Linked DNA regions of Macaca fascicularis. The protein of the gene in region 2 interacts with the protein of the main gene of each other region in a pairwise test. Links are inferred from orthologs where the notes say so. Each region holds a gene or a part of one and is shown on either strand. Other genes may lie near its edges. The genes, in order: PEX3 and PEX16.

Evidence for each region.
Region 1: the proteins of PEX16 (region 2) and PEX3 interact in binary tests that used the Homo sapiens proteins (3 or more experiments, as listed by UniProt). The link is inferred for Macaca fascicularis from reciprocal best matches to the Homo sapiens genes PEX16 and PEX3.

Annotation. Positions count from the first base shown.
Region 1 is NC_088378.1:47,653,826-47,661,892, forward strand, and holds the start of PEX3 (peroxisomal biogenesis factor 3), read left to right. Parts: upstream 1-2,957; 5' UTR 2,958-3,193; coding exon 3,194-3,266; intron 3,267-8,067. Other genes in the region: ADAT2 (tRNA-specific adenosine deaminase 2), read right to left, coding at 2,717-2,812. UniProt on the Homo sapiens protein: Involved in peroxisome biosynthesis and integrity. Assembles membrane vesicles before the matrix proteins are translocated. As a docking factor for PEX19, is necessary for the import of peroxisomal membrane proteins in the peroxisomes.
Region 2 is NC_088388.1:19,942,243-19,950,413, reverse strand, and holds the start of PEX16 (peroxisomal biogenesis factor 16), read right to left. Parts: upstream 4,797-8,171; 5' UTR 4,486-4,796; coding exon 4,374-4,485; intron 4,168-4,373; coding exon 4,081-4,167; intron 3,815-4,080; exon of another isoform or gene 3,724-3,814; intron 2,643-3,723; coding exon 2,566-2,642; intron 2,185-2,565; coding exon 2,051-2,184; intron 1,917-2,050; coding exon 1,816-1,916; intron 1,033-1,815; coding exon 952-1,032; intron 815-951; coding exon 662-814; intron 550-661; coding exon 477-549; intron 287-476; coding exon 167-286; exon of another isoform or gene 1-166. UniProt on the Homo sapiens protein: Required for peroxisome membrane biogenesis. May play a role in early stages of peroxisome assembly. Can recruit other peroxisomal proteins, such as PEX3 and PMP34, to de novo peroxisomes derived from the endoplasmic reticulum (ER).

The DNA.
Region 1 (8,067 bases), on a different chromosome or scaffold from region 2:
CAACAAATCCTTTTGTAGTTATGGAAATATCCTTTGATCTGCACTGTCCAATATGGTAGCCAGTGGTCATATGTGGCTTCTGACTACTTGAAATGTGGCTAACACAACTGAGGAGCTGGATTTTATTTTATTTCACCTTAATTAATTTAAAGTTAAATAGCTACACATGGTTAGTGACTACGATATTGGGCATCATGGTTCTAGAAGGCAATACAGGAGTATCTATATAATTTCAAAGCACATACATCCTTTGTCCCATTTTTGATAGTCACTCCATAGCAACAGAAATACCATGAGGTAGGGAGGAGTGATTAATATATTAAGACTACCAAAAAAATGTGCTGAGAATCAAAAAGAGAACATGTAAATCCATTTATGCAAAAGTACATATGGCTGTTTACATATGGACAGAGAGATATGGAAGGATGCTCCCAAACACTAATAGTATTATCTCTAATGATAGGACTGTCAGGTAATTTTTACATAATTGGTTAACCCTTTTTTATAGTTTGAATTTTTTATGCCCATGAATTATTTACATAATCAGAAAAATAAAACATTAAAATATTTTCACTTTGGGAAAAAAAAAAGGGGGGGCATTAATGGATCAAAGGATAAGCTCACTTTTAAGGCCTTTTATATCTACCTAGCCAAATTGTCCTAATAAAAGGGTGTTCTAAATTCAGTTCCTCCCAACCAACAAACACCTCAAACATGCACATCCTTATTATCACCAAGCATTAAAATTGCTTTCACGTTTGCCAATTTAACAGGTGAAAAATTGTGTATCATTTTACTTTGAATTTCATTAATAGTGAAATTGTGTATTCATTCATTTGCTGGCTACTCGTCACTTCTTTTAGAAATATCATGTTCAGGTGAGGTGTGGTGACCCACACCTGTAATCCCAGCACTTTGGGAGGCTGAAGTGGGACGATTGCCTGGGGCCAGGAGTTCAAGACCAGCTTGGGCAACACAGAGAGACCCTGTCTAAACAAAAAAACACTTTTAAAAATAAAAGGAAATTTTAAAAAGAAATATATTCATATCCTTTGACCTTTTCAGTATTAGGGTATACATATTTCCTCTTACCTCAGAAAGTACTTAGATTTTATATAAATTCTATGTTACGGTTATTAAACCTGTCCTTTTATATATGTTGCAAATATTTTCCTTCTCTGCGATTTCCTTTACTTTGTATCTTTTTTTTCTTTTTTGAGACAGGGTCTGGTTCTGTCTCCCAGGTTGGAGTATAGTGGCACAGTCATGGCTCACTAGAGCCTCAATCTCCAAGGCTGAAGCAATCCTCCTGCCTCAGCCTCCTGAGTAGCTGGGACTGCAGGCACATGCCACCATGCCCTACTGATTTTTAAATTTTTGTTTAGTAGTGACAGGGTCTCGCTATGTTGCCCAGGCTGTTCTTCAACTTTTGAGATCAAGAGATCCTCTTGCTTCTGCCTTCCAAAGTGTTGGGATTATAGGCATAAGCCACTGCATCTGGCCATGATACTTTGTATCTTATCTTTTTAAACATGTGGATGTTTTCAAAGAATTTCTAGACCTCTCTGGCTTTGAAATTTTTGTCTCTCAATTGTATTATAAACACCTAGGGATGTGATTCCATAGTTTACCTCCTCCTACACAAGACTAAGGAGGCAGCTGCTTCTTGGGTTTTGGCATATACATGTTTCTTCAAGGTCTTAAAGGGAAAAAAGTACTTGTTAGGAGGGCTACATGTCACTAGGCAATAGGAACTTTTCAGCTCCGTTATAATCCTATAGGACCACCGCTGTATATGTGGTCCTATAGATTATAACGGAGCTGAAAAGTGCTAGCGAGCTTCTTAACTGGGATAACAGTTTGTTTGTAAACGTATGTAAATGTATTTACTTGTGCTAGCCCAAGGTCAACCTAAAAGGTGGCAAAAAGGTTTAGCCCAGAAGTCTACATAGAGACTAGTGTTGTCTACCTCCATACCACCCTGAACGTCCCCCAATCTCGGACGCTGAGCAGGGTCAGGTCTGGTTAGTACTTGGATGGGACAATAGGGCTAAGGTGAGTAGATTTAATGCTCCAGGATAACGACCTTTACAGACAGGTCATTATGTGGCACGTGGCTGTATGTACAGTTATTAAAATGTAAATATACATGTTTGCAAACAAACTATTTTCCCAGTTAAGAAGCTCGCTAGCACACACCATTCTGTTGAAAGGCCCCTTTACTCCGCAGACCTGAAGGGAGTGAGGGAAGGACGTAAAAGGGCAGAGGAAAGAATGAATGAATGCGAGACACCGATTCTACAGGGATTTGTTTCCATACTGCTCTCTACCAGAAACGTTCTCAGTTTCCTTCCTTCTGCTGGACATGGTCCAGGGGCCAAAACCTCAAATAATGTGATTTTGTAGATTGGAGAGTGTGACCACAGAAAGGAAAGGGAGGCAGCACGTGCCAGCCAGCGACAGAATGCTAAGTCTGCAGCATACTCCACCCCAATGAAACAAATAATTTCTGTATTTCCTCCCTTTCCTTCGCCCATAGTCACTGTGAGAATGGGCTACAGAAAGTTTCGAGGCAGTAAAGCCAGTAGTTCACCCAGAACATCTGACTGCCATAAAAATTATGGTGACGAGAAAGAACGTTTGCTCAAATGCCGTGGTTGGGGTGAGGGCTGGAGAAAGGTCCCACCCCGCAGCATTCACCTCCCGGGCTCCTCACCATGTGCATTGCCTCCTCCATCCACTTTTCGGTCTCTTCTGCCGACACCGAGCACGCGCCGCCTGCAGCTGACTTGGGCGCCGCCTTCGCCTCCATACCCGGCCACCACTCAGCGCCAAAGGCCGCCGCGGAGGAGGAGCGCGGGCAGCGGAACGCGGCGGGCCCGGGCCCCCGTTTCCGGGGGAGTCGAATGGAAAGGCACTCGGGAGCGATTTCTGAACGGACCTGGGCGTGTCGGACCAGTGAGCAGCGGCGGCTGCGCCGCGGCAGCCGCAGAAAGCGCAGCTGCTTTGCTCTAGTCCACGCCCCCTTGCCGCTCCGGTGACAGTCTGCGGAAAGCCGCGTTTGTGATTTCGGGAGAGCGCAGAGCGGGACGGCGGCGCTCTTGCTTGGTCATCTGGGCCAGGTGACGAAGAAACAGTTTCCCGGTGAAGCAGCCCCTCACTCATAGTCAGCGCACACCCCTAGGGCCTAAAGATGCTGAGGTCCGTATGGAATTTTCTGAAACGCCACAAAAAGAAATGCATCTTCCTGGGCACGGTCCTTGGAGGTGGGTGACAACGTTCTTGAAAGGGGGCATTGGGAGAAGGGAGTGGGAGAGGTGACTTTTTCTAAAATAAGAACAGGCCGGGGCGAACCTAGTCTGGGATCTGTAGAGGGGATTCGATCAACCATGGGATGGAAAGGGAGGTGGCCAACCTCAAGGGTTCTCCCATCTCTGCAGTTGAGAAATGCCTCTGTGCCCTTTGCCCTGTCACCGCCTCTTAACTGTTTCTCACCTATCCTTTTTTCTCACGGACCTTTGGAGAATTCAGTACAGTTTAAGTTTCTGTTACAGGAACTTTTTAAAAAAAATTCTGCTTTCCTGTGAGATTCTTCATTTTTCCTTGGCACTCTTGGCACTATGGCTCTCACCCTTCTCAGGAGTTTAATAATAATCTAGGGGAGGTGGTTTAATAATAAATGATAAATAAATAAATAATAATAAACTCTCAGGAGTTTAATAATAATCTAGGGGAGGGAGTTTAATAATAATCTAGGTGGTGGTTAAAGTCGATTTGAATTTTTGAAAACAGCGCAGTTGTCCTGAAGGACTGAAAGAGATGGATTAGATAAAGAAAAACAAATCAATATTTTAGCTCTGTTTCTGCCATTTTAGAATACAAACTGTGGCAGTAAGAAAAATGCTTGAGGGATGTTGCGCAGTCTTCCTCAGGATCTTCAAGGTTGGGATCGTTGTAATCTAACTGACATAGCTGAGTTGCACGGGCCCAGAGGAGATTTAGAAACAGATAAGATAAAAATCTTGAGACCCTTTTCCCTCATACAATGCTCATGTGATAATATTCAGGGATTTGAAGGAGGGAATAAAAAGCTTTGTGAATTATATGAAAAGAACATCTAGGAACTTTAAAAGAGGAAATTTGTTGTAACTTGAGTTTTTGAGAAATATTCTTATCACTTATTATGTGCTGTGTTTACAGAAGTACTTAAAATAAAGAACAGAGGTTCCCAAAGAATTTGGTTGGCTTTTCTCTTAGTATTAGATTGTATTCTGTTCTCCCCAAACAATTTGAAATTAACAATACATATTAGATTGTATTCTGTTCTCCCCAAACAATTTGAAATTAACAATACTTATTAGATTGTATTCTGTTCTCCCCAAACAATTTGCAATTAACAATACTCTTAGCATCAATAGTTCAGATTTTGGTGATGCTTCAAAGTTTGAAACAGAGTTCTTGTTGCTGAGCCAAGGATGGTGTTTGCATGCCTCTGACATCTATCACAGATCAATAATAAGCGTGTAAATTTTGAACATCTTTGAGAAATCCTTTATATATAAAAGGTATTTTCTGATATCTTCATTCTCTAGTATCTAATGTATATTTAAATTATCCTAAGACTACTGAGTCCATTTTATTTATAAAAGCTAAAAATAGATGTGTGATTGAAGCAATACAAATAAAGTATTTTTGCCTTTACCGAAGGAAGGAAAATTATCTCTAACAATCTCAGAAGGAATACTCCTTCAGCTTATGGAACAACCTTGTGGTAAATTAGAAATAATCACAGGGGAAGCAAAAGAGTAGACTTAAAAGAAATTTATAATTAAAAAAAAAAATCTAACAAGAGCCTTATAGTTACAGAATAAGAGGAATGCAAAAAAAGAAAAGTTCAGACGGATAGAAAGAGAAAATAATCCTAGTGTTTTATATCAATAAAGGAGTCAGTCTGAAAAGAAAGGAAGAGTAGATGACCATGGTTGGCATTTGTTTGAGCCTCGTATTCTTTCTGCTTCAGGGAGAAAGTTCTACAGTATGTTAGATTTTAATTAATCTGACTTAAGAAATATTTATCAAGTACCTGTAGTGCTGAAAGTAATATGTATGGAAATACAAGATTTATAGATTTTTAATAGTAACAGCTACTATTTATTGGGAGCCCACTTTACACTGGGCATTGTGCTAAGCTCTTCCTATTTAGGCAGAATGACAAGAAGGCAGTTATTATTATCCCCATTCAAAAATGTGGCAACAAGAGCCCTAAGAATTTAAGAAACTTGCCTCAGGTCTCAGAATTAGTGAAGGGAAACTGGAATTCAAACCCAGGTGTGTTGGACCCCAAAGCACATTCTCTTTCCACATTATATCACTGTGCTTCCATGGTCTTTATGGTCTGATAGGAAGGAAAAGCAAGTATACATGTAATTAAGATACAGAAAAACAAGAGAGGTGAAAAAATGCTGTACAGATCACACTGGCAAGTAGCATATACAGTTGTGAAAAATCAGGAAGAATTTCATGGAAAAAGAGACACATTTTGACAGGCTCGAAAGCTGGACAGTATATCAACAGGATGCTTGGAGAAGTTTGGTCATTCAATCGTGGGGGAAATAAGTAAGTAAAACCTTCAGTAGCAGGCCTTCTTAAGTAACAATTTCTGTTTCCTTGAATTTTAGATGGGTAACTAATTGGTTTACACCAGTTTGTATAATTTGACCAGTTTTGGGTGTTTGGGTGTGTTCGGTTTTTGTTTTTGTTTTTTTTTTTTTTTTTTCAGACAGGGTCTTGCTCTTTACCCAAGCTAAAATACAGTGGTGTGATCATAGCTCACTACAGCCTTGATTTCTCCTTTGCTAGCTTTACAATGTAAGGCAAGTAGAAAGCTTCCTTATGAAGATTTGCCTGACACCTTCACACTTTCCTCACTCATGTGATCCTCTCACCTCAGCCTCCCAAGTAGCTAGGACTACAGGTGTGCACCATCAGGCTTGGCTAATTTTTAATTACTTTGTAGAGATGGGGGTCTCACTACATTGCTCAGACTGGTCTTGAACTCCAGGCTTCAAGCAGTCGTCCTGCCTCAGCCTCCTAAAGCGCTGGAATTACAGGCCTGAGCCACTGAGCCTGGCATAATTTGACCAGTTTGTGAAAAGGCTAGAGAATTGACTCCCAAACTTTTTGGTCTAAGGTCTCCTTTATACTCTGGAAAATTAAGGACCCTCAAAAGCTTTCTAAATTTTATATCTATTAATAGTTATGATATTCAAAATGAAAATGAAAATTTAAATATTAATTCATTTTTTAAAAACCTATTACATATTAACATAAATAACATTTTCAAAAAATTAATGAGTGTCATTGTTTTACATTTTGAAAATCTTTTTAATGTTTGACTTAATTGAAGAAAGCTAGATTCTCATCTCTTTCTATATTCTGTCAGTTGTGATATCACACAGCATGTAACCTCTGAATTACTCCACTGTATACTCATGAGAGAGTATGAGTATGAGAGAGAACGAGAATGAAAAAGGCAAATAACATTTTAGTATTATTACAAAAACAGTTTTGATTTTATAGACCCCCTGAAATGGTCTTAAAGACCCCAGGGGTGCCCTTGCCACACTTTGAGAACCATTGCACTGGAAAAAGTATTGGAAAACAGAGAGCAACCAGATTCATATTTATTGACTTGCTGGTTTCTAAAAAACTCAGAATATTGACTTGGATTTATACCTTAAATCCTGTAATCTCTGGCCTCTTCACATTTTTTATTCGTTTATTCATTCATTCATTCTGTCATTGAACAAACATTTGAATGAGAGTAAGTGCCTGTTCTCACTGTACTTTACTCTGGAAATACAAAGGAATAAGACTGATCCTGACTTGGAACTCATGGCACAGAAATGGAAATAAACAAAAGTAGTATGATAGTATAGTATGAAAATAGAGCAGGGTCTTGTGGGAGCATAGAGGAGAAGAAAGTGTGAAGATGTCAGGCAAAGCTTCATAAGGAAGAATTTCTACTTAAGTTTTAAAACTAGCAAAGGAGAAAGGACACAGCAAGAAAAAGAGCTATTCAAGAGGTTCAGCAACATTGCTTTTATGGATGAAACTATATTTCACTATGGCTGTGCAAATGAGAAGTGGCAAAAGATTAACTTGGAAAAGCAACTAGAGTACAGATTGTGAAGGGCCTTATGAAGCCATTCTACATAATTTGGATATTATCCTTTGTATTGGTGCTTCCTGGAGTTTAGTATGGATTTAAAAAATCACTTAAGGAGTTTAATAAAACGTAGGATCCTTTATTCCAGATTCTGATTCTTTAGGTTTAGAATGCAGTTCAAGAATTCCTTAATTCAGCAAATATTTATTGAATTCTGACTGAATCCCAGTCAGAGTTTATGTACTGGGGGTGCAGCATCATGCAAAATAAGACATTTGGGGGTATTTTCAAAAAGTGTCCTTTAAGGCTACATTTTAAATTGTCCCAAGTAATTCTGATGTGAGTGGAACAGGAAAACCACATTAAGAAATGATGGCAAGATGCTGAAGGATTCTAAAAGCATGAGTGATATAATCAGATTTATGTTTTAAAAAAATCACTTTGCATGTATAAGATGGGCTAAACAGGTGTGTGACCAGAAACTGAAGAGTTAGGGAACTATTGAAGCAGTTCAAGAGCATTAATTTTTACGGTCTAAGTGAAGACACTGATAAAGAAGTTGTAGATAATTGGCAAGATTTAGAAAATATGTCTGAAATAGAATCAGAATACTGTAGTAGGATTTGGTGATCTGTTAGATTGGGAACAATGTTAATAGGTTATTTTCAAACTCTTTTTGAAATTATTAACCTTGTGAAATAGTTGCATTGTAGGGATTTTCATCCAGAAAGAGAATACTACGAGATGGTTTTAAAACAACTGACTTGTGGAAAGACTAGAAGTCTTATTTTACTAGTAATGTTATTAAAGGAAAACTCAAAGCATTTGACATTTATTTTTTAAGGTATTTAGTAAATATTTTCATTGTTAATATGTAAAATCATAGCTACAAAAGAAAC
Region 2 (8,171 bases):
TGCGGGCGGAATGGCTGGCATCGGTTGACTGCTACCCAGACAACACACAGTGGGTGCTCGGTGAAGCCGGGATGAGGCATGGGGGAGGGAAGGCACCAGCAGGGACCGGAGCACCAGTGCCCGCATGCCGGCCCACTCCCTGGCTGAGGGTGGCCTGGGTGCTCACTCGGAGAAGCGGTCGTAGAACGGAGAGCGGAGCAGGTAGTACAGCAGCAGGATGGTCCGGCGCCGCAGCTCCCGCCGTTCCCTCCGGGTCAGGCCCTTTCTGTCACTCAGGAGGCTCAGGCTGGGAGGCAGGTAGGACATGGTCAGGGCCAGGGGCATGATCTAGGCCCACGGAAGGGGAGGAGCCATGGGCTGGGTGTCCAGAAGGGCAGCAACAGGAGGAGCAGGGGCTGCTACTGCCCCGCCTACGTGAGGCCGGGATTGTAGCAGAAAGCCCAGGAGAGTGGAGCCCCGGGCGGGCCCAGGCTCACCTGGTCACATCCACAACACCAGCCAAGAGCCAGGGTTTCCACGACCTCTGACCCCACAGCCCCAGGCTGAGCACTGACGGCCAAGGCGTCAAGGATGTCTCCAGCACAGGGACCTTGCTCGGCGCACCCCCCACTCAATCCCCAGCCCACAGTGCCAGCCCTATCCTGCCCCGCGCTAAGGATACAGTGCAGCAGCGGCCGGGCAATGTACAAAAACTCTGCGATGGTCTCCTGCAGCCCCAGGGGGGTGGGGGTCGCACTCAGCTCCTCGTGGTGCTGCTGCTGCCATCCCTCCCGCTGCTGGGGAGCTCCCCAGTGCCTGGAGTGCAGGGACGGCGCTAGAACACAAGGGCAGCAGATAAGCGAGCCAGGCCCGGGCTGGGGCAGGGGAAGGTGGCTGCTGACCAAAGCCAGTCCCTCAGGCCCAGGCAGACACAGCACCTAGGTGCCCAGGCCAGCCACATCCTCCACTTACTGTTCTGGAGGGTTCGCACCACCCGGTTTGACCGCTTCCCCACGTAGGACTGCTCATGGCTGCCATGGCTGTGGTCACCATCTAGCAGGGATAGACAGAAGGCCATACAGTCAGAGGGACATGCTTCCAGCGGAGCCTGCAAAGAACATGCATGCAGTGAATGCTCAGGGGCTAAGGGGAGAACAGATGAGCTTCTACTATGGCAACAGCTGAGTCAAGGGAACTACAACTGGGGTGGTGGCTCAGCACGAGACCTGTCCACAGAGGAAAGCACTCTGCAGCCCTCCCTGGCCTGGGGAAAGCTCAGCATAGCTGTGGCCAGAACCAGCCTCCTGGAACCCATGGACAAGCAAGGCAGGGAGGGCCCAGCCTGACCACATCTATGGGGACCACAGCACCAGAGGGGCTGTCTCCTCTCAAGCCTTTGCCTTCAAAACAATCATGATGAGAGGCAATGAACTGCCCCCACTCAATGTCCAGAGAGTGAAGCCCAGAAGCTGACAGGATGGGCTCAAAGCCCTGAAGGGACAGATGTGGCAGGTTCCCTGCCTTCTGCCTCTACAGGCTGTGGCTCTGGACACAGAACCAGGCCCAGAGGCAAGGTTGGCAGCATCCCATCTGTTCCCTCTTCCTGCAGGCCACAAAAATGAATGACTCTGGCCATGACAAGTACTGGGTTTGTGTTCTGATTTTGTCCCTAGCCGCATCACTGTCTTCTTCATCGAATACAGGGCAATGAGAACAGAGGTGGTGGGGTCAGGTGTGCTCCAAAAACAGATACTACTGTATTCATGCTGGTTGGATCTAAATCCTCAAGTTAGTCCCACAGCCCATTCCACTCTAGGGCTTGGGGAAGTAGCTCACCCGGGGGCTGTGCCTGGGTCTCTCTGTCCAGTGGAACGATGGGGGGTGAGGTCTGGAGGCCAGCCTTGAACCAGAGCAGCAGGAGCATCCGCAGTACAGCCCTGGGTCGGGGAGTATGTCAGGGCTGTGGGGAGGTGGCTAGCCGGCGGGAGGTCAGGGATGCTCTGCTGAGCACCATCTGTGTAGTTGGCCTGCGTCACCCCGACCCAGGACCCCCTCCACAATCCCAACCTACTTGGCCAGTTGGATGAGGGCGATGACAAGCCAGCGGCCCACTTCGCCCCACACTTTGGCAGCTCCCATCTCCATGAACACCTCCACGCACTCCAGCACGCTCAGCCATGTCAGCAGCTTCTGCTGGGACAGCGACTGCAAGAACCCCAGGCCAAGAAGTCAGGGGGCTGCCTGTTGTCCCAGGCCCTTCTCCTAGGAGGGAGCTTCTCTGACAAGAGATGTGGACTTGCCCCTTTCCAAGACTAACTGTGCAGGTGTGAGTTCAAACACCAACTCCACCACTAACAGGCTGGGGGACCTGAAACAGCTGACTCTACCTCTCTTCATCTGAGACAGTCTCTTCATCTAAGATGGAATACTCACACTTTACAGCTCACCTAATGAGATGGTTGAGGCTCAGATGGACATAGGCCTGTCTCATACTCCATGAGACACGTGCTGCATGCATGGGCTAGCTGCTACTATTTCATTCCTGAGTCCCCATGCTTCCCACCCTGTTCCTGGCAGAATTCTCACCACAGGCAACTTTTTCCGAAGCTCCTTCCGTAGGATCCCGTCATTGAGCAGCACAAGCAGGTTAGAGGCGGAGTACACTGAGGGGTAGAGTGTGGCCTTGAGAGGCTGGCTCTGCAACCTCCATCCCTCTCACCTTCTGCCCAGAGCTGCAGGGATCACATGTCACCTGCTCTGCTCAGACACCCACAGACTATGTGGAAACCAGCCTGCCTCTCCACCCACTTCCTCAGCACTCCCCTCTCCCCAACATGATCTCACAAGGGTGGTTGGACCAAGAAAGGATGGGTCAATCTCAGTGACAAGCCAGCTACTGCCCTGTCGGATGGCACTGGTCATCCAGCTGCCCACAACTGCCCATTGCTCTCTGAACTGCCACAGATATGCGGTCCTTCCTCCTGGCCTTTTTTCTCTCGGCAGCCTGTCCCTGAGGGTCTATTCCACCTCCACTTTTCCTTTTTCTTTTTTTTTTTTTTTTTTTTTTGAGACGGAGTCTCGCTCTGTCGCCCAGGCTGGAGTGCAGTGGCCAGATCTCAGCTCACTGCAAGCTCCACCTCCCGGGTTTACGCCATTCTCCTGCCTCAGCCTCCCGAGTAGCTGGGACTACAGGCGCCTGCCACCTCGCCTGGCTAGTTTTTTGTATTTTTTAGTGGAGACGGGGTTTCAGTGTTAGCCAGGATGGTCTCGATCTCCTGACCTCGTGATCCACCCGTCTCGGCCTCCCAAAGTGCTGGGATTACAGGCTTGAGCCACCGCGCCCGGCCCACTTTTCCTTTTTCTTTCTTTCTTTTTTTTTGAGTCAGAGTTTTGCTCTTGTTGCCCAGGCTGGAGTGCAACGGCACAATCTCGGCTCACTGCAACCTCTGCCTCCTGGGTTCAAGCAATTCTCCTGCCTCAGCCTCTCAAGTAGCTGGGACTACAGGCACCTGCCACCATGCCCAGCTAATTTTTGTATTTTTAGTAGAGACGGTGTTTCACCATGTTGGCCAGGCTGGTCTCAAACTCCTGACCTCAGGCGATCCACCCGCCTCTGCCTCCCAAAGTGGCTGGGATTACAGGCGTGAGCCACTGCACCTGGCCTCACCTCTGCTTTTCAAAACCCACTTCATTCTTTCAGGACTGTGACAGCAGTCACTGGACAAACACTCTTGAGGTAGTTACCATCTGCGAATCCTGGAATCTGGGAGATCTAGACTCGAATCTTTGTTCTGGGACCATCAGTAAGTGTTCTCTAACCTCACTGAACTTCTTCCTTAAATGGACAGTGAGGACAATAACAGTTCCACTTAATATGACTGTAGGGAGGATTAACAAGTAAAGGTAAGAAAGGTACTTAGCCCAGCTCCTGGCCAGTAGTGAATACTCAGATAAGGTCCCCAGGCTGTCTCTTGACTTAGGGACATGGAAGGCCCAGGACAGTGAACAACAGACCTTGTTCCGATTCAGTCATAGCACAAGGAGTCTAACGGGCAGTCCAGGACCTCGGGTTGGGGTGTTCACCCGCTCTGGGGAACTCACCTGGGGCCAGGCAGCCGATCCCCCATCCCCCACCCCCAGAGCCCGGCTCACCCAGCTCTGACAGCTCGTGCGAATCGGCGAATCGACCTGGGGAGAGGGTACAGAGGGAGGTGTGAGTGAGCATCTGCCTTACATTTAGTCTTCAGGTCCCGGACGTCCCCTCCCTACGCCCTTTGGGAACCTGGATGGGTCTTCTCAAGCACAGCGATCACTACCCTGACTCCGCAGGGAAGGGGGCCACTGGGGTCATAGGTCAGGGCCCAGAAGGAACGGATCAAAGGTCAAGGTGGCACCTGCCAGCAGGTAACTGAGGCCCCGCACTGCCGTCTCCAGCTGGGCCGTGGCGGCCGGGTGACGAGTCACGTACTCCTGGTAGCGGAGGCCCAGGAGCCGCAGCTTCTCCATCCTGCCCTCGGCACCAACAGATCCACGGAAGGACTGTACGCCAGGCTGCGGCGCCCTGCTTCCTGCGCCCTCCTTCCTGCTTCCGGTCTTAGGCCCACCTCTGGGTTGCTTAACTTCCGCGGGCCAGAAGGCTGGTGACTTGAAGAGCCGGTGAACCACCCTTCACCCCATCTCTTGAACCACTTCCCATTCGGGTAGCGCTTAGCAACTGAGGGCCCAAACCCGGCCCCCTACTCCCTCAAGTCATTGGTTAGCACGCTCACCGCCCCTGACCCGCCCAGTGTGATCGGCACCCAGCTCTTCCGTTTACTGGGTTGGCTGCCTTTGCGCCTGCGCAGTTAACACTCCGGGACAGCTGGGCGGCAGTCAGAGCAGTTCATTCTAGAGAAGGGAGCTGGAGCGCCGAGTCTTTCCAATGGAACGCCGAGAGACTCGAACGGCAGGGCCGGACTTTAAAGGGCTGGGAGATAGCGGGTTCTTGAAAAAAGGAGCCTCGATCAGATTCGGAGAGATGCGGGCGTCTAAATGCAGTCGGACTGTGTCTCAGAAGGCGCGCGTTCGGCCAGTATCCCCATCTCCGTTTCCTCAACAAAGGTAGTGCTGGGGAAACTCAGGCAGTAAGGAGTCCAGCCCCCTAGTGCCGTCTGGATCCCCTAGACAGCACAGTTAGTGCTGGGTTTCGGCCCCAGCTCCCGTATGCACTGTGCCCCCCACGGGCGCGCGCCTGCATTCCCACATACGCGAAGAAAGCCCTGGCCCGGGCTTCTCTCGGCTAGGGGGCCCTTGGGCGGGAGTGTCCCTTCTCTGGGTCTCGGATTTCCCGATCTGTAAAATGGTTTGAGGGCAGACTTGATCCTTGAACTCAGAATCGATCTCAGCTTTTCGGCCCTCGGACGCACCTCGCAGTCCTCAGCTGCGCCCCAAGGGAGGGGGCGACTCCTGCGGAATACCTTCCCAAACCAAGCAGCCTCCCTGGAACGGGTGGCATCGGGAGAGCTGCGGCGAGTGGTGGAGGGGACCGGCGCTCTGGGGGGGCAGCCGCTGATTGGCTGCGGGGAAAGGGGCGTGGCAAGGGTGAAGCAGTGGGCCAGCGGATTTATGGTACCCTGAGAATAGTAATAGTAATGCTTTTTGTTTGTTTGTTTTGTTTTGTTTTTTTTGAGACGGAGTCTCGCTCTGTCGCCCAGGCTGGAGTGCAGTGGCCAGATCTCAGCTCACTGCAAGCTCCGCCTCCCGGGTTTACGCCATTCTCCTGCCTCAGCCTCCCGTGTAGCTGGACTACAGGGGCCCGCCACCTCGCCCGGCTAGTTTTGTTTTGTTTGTTTGTTTGTTTGTTTGTTTGTTTGTTTTTTTGGAGACGGAGTCTCGCTCTGTAGCCCAGGCTGGAGTGCAGTGGCCGGATCTCAGCTCACTGCAAGCTCCGCCTCCCGGGTTCACGCCATTCTCCGGCCTCAGCCTCCCGAGTAGCTGGGACTACAGGCGCTGCCACCTCGCCCGGCTATTTTTTGTATTTCTTAGTAGAGACGGGGTTTCACCGTGTTAGCCAGGATGGTCTCGATCTCCTGACCTCGTGATCCGCCCATCTCGGCCTCCCAAAGTGCTGGGATTACAGGCTTGAGCAGGATGGTCTCGATCTGCTGACCTCGTGATCCGCCCGTCTCGGCCTCCCAAAGTGCTGGGATTATAGGCTTGAGCCACCGCGCCCGGCAGTAATGCATTATTTTATCTAATCCTCTCCACCAGATATCACCAGATGAAGAAAGCATCCGTTTAAGAACGCCCAGCCAAAATTTGAGTGCTGGTCTTTTCTGACCTCAGAGACTAGGCGGTTTCTTTTTATTCATTTTTTTTTTTTTTTTTAACTTTAATTTTCTTTTTAGAGACCAGGTCTAAGCATTACACCTCACCAGGAAACCACAGCCTTCCTTCCACTGCCTCACCCCACCCTACTCCATAGCTTAGTTTTCTTCTCTATCAGGTGGGGGATTAGAGCTGCCCTCTACTCACATCAAAGAACGACGACGCAGGGAAAGGTGACCAGGGAGGAGGTGGTCATGGGCATTGTCGACATCATTTCTGGCCACCCTCTGTGCCAGGCTTGCTTACCCTCCTCCCAGCAACCCCAAGTTGCCATGAACTGTTCACAGATGGGAAATTAGAGGCCAATAAGGAGGGGAAAGGATTTGTCCCACATGGCACAGCAAGGCACTGGCCAAACGGGCCACAACGCAGGTCTCCAGTGGCAGTGACCTCTCTCCTACTGCCCACAGCCCACAAGAACTGTGACATGTTGAGGCTCCTTGGTCATGAGGCCAGTTAGCAACTGGGATTAGGACCTAGGCTTGGGGCCCTCAAGGTGACGCTCCTTCTCCTTTCCTCTGCCCCACCTTGTTTTTTGTTTGTTTGGTTGTTTTTGAGACGGAGTCTCACTCTGTCGCCCAGCTGGAGTGCAATGGTGCAATCTCAGCTCACTGCAACCTCTGCCTCCCAGGTTCAAGCGATTCTCCTGCCTCAGCCTCCCAATTAGCTGGGCCTACAGGCGCCCGCCACCACGCCCAACTAATTTTTGTATTTTTAGTAGAGATGAAGTTTCACCATGTTGGCCAGGCTGGTCTCGAACTTCTGACCTCAGGTGATCTGCCTGCCTCAGCCTCCCAAAGTGCTAGGTATGAGCCACCATGCTCCAACATCTTAATGAACTTGTTCCTCAAACCTCCAGGTTGGCCACTCTTCCGGCCCTCCCTCTGCAGCTGTGGAGAGGGTGTGGAGGGAGAATTTGAGGTTCTTCAGCACTCCTTGGGCTGGAGGTCCTGTTTCTGAGGAGAGCAAGGTGTGGAGGGGAGAGGGGCCGACTCCCCAGGACAGAATAGGTAGGGGCTTGGGCTGGAACCAGTGTCTCCTCCCTCCCTCCAGAACTGGGAGGGGGAGCATGGGCCCAGCCAGGTTGGCAGCAGCAGGTCTGCCTGAATTTCCTCTCTAGATCCCAGGCCTGATTAGGCCCCAGAGACAAAGAGTTGCCGTGTGTGCAGGAGGCTCCTAGGGTGGCCCTCCCCTGCTCCCTGGCCCCCTGCCTGGACTTGGCCGTCTTGTTGGGCTGGAAGGATTTTGGGGCAGGTTGAGCTGTATCATATCTCCTTCAATTTGCCCCAAGTCACAGGGGAAGAGAGGTAGACCAGTCCAACATGTACAGATGAGAGTACCAGAGGCCCAGAGAGGGAGCCTCACTGGTCTAAGGTCATACAGCAAAGTCCTGGGCAGAGCTGGGTCAAAATGGGTCTTAGGCCAAGAGGAACAGCACCGTTTATATGCCCATACTTGTCTCTTTCTCCCTCCACGCCCCTAGAACAACCCCTTGGGGGCCTAGAAGGCATCTCAGCACTTCAGTTTCCCTGAGTGGTGAGGCTGAGCCAGAAGAAGGGCCAGCGTTGTGAGTGACCACAGTGAGATCTGCAGACCCAGCTTCCTGCACTGACTCCCCCGGCCCCTTTACTGAAGACGAATCCTGGGCCAGCCCCCAACTGTGTGTGTGCTCTACCTGGTCCCACATGGTGTTTGTTTGTTTGTATTTAGAGACAAGGTCTCTGTCACCCAGGCTGGAGTGCAGCAGTATGATTATGGCTCACAGCAGCCATGACCTCCTGGGTTCAGGTAATCCTCCTACCTCAGCCTCCCAAGTAGTAGGCGCA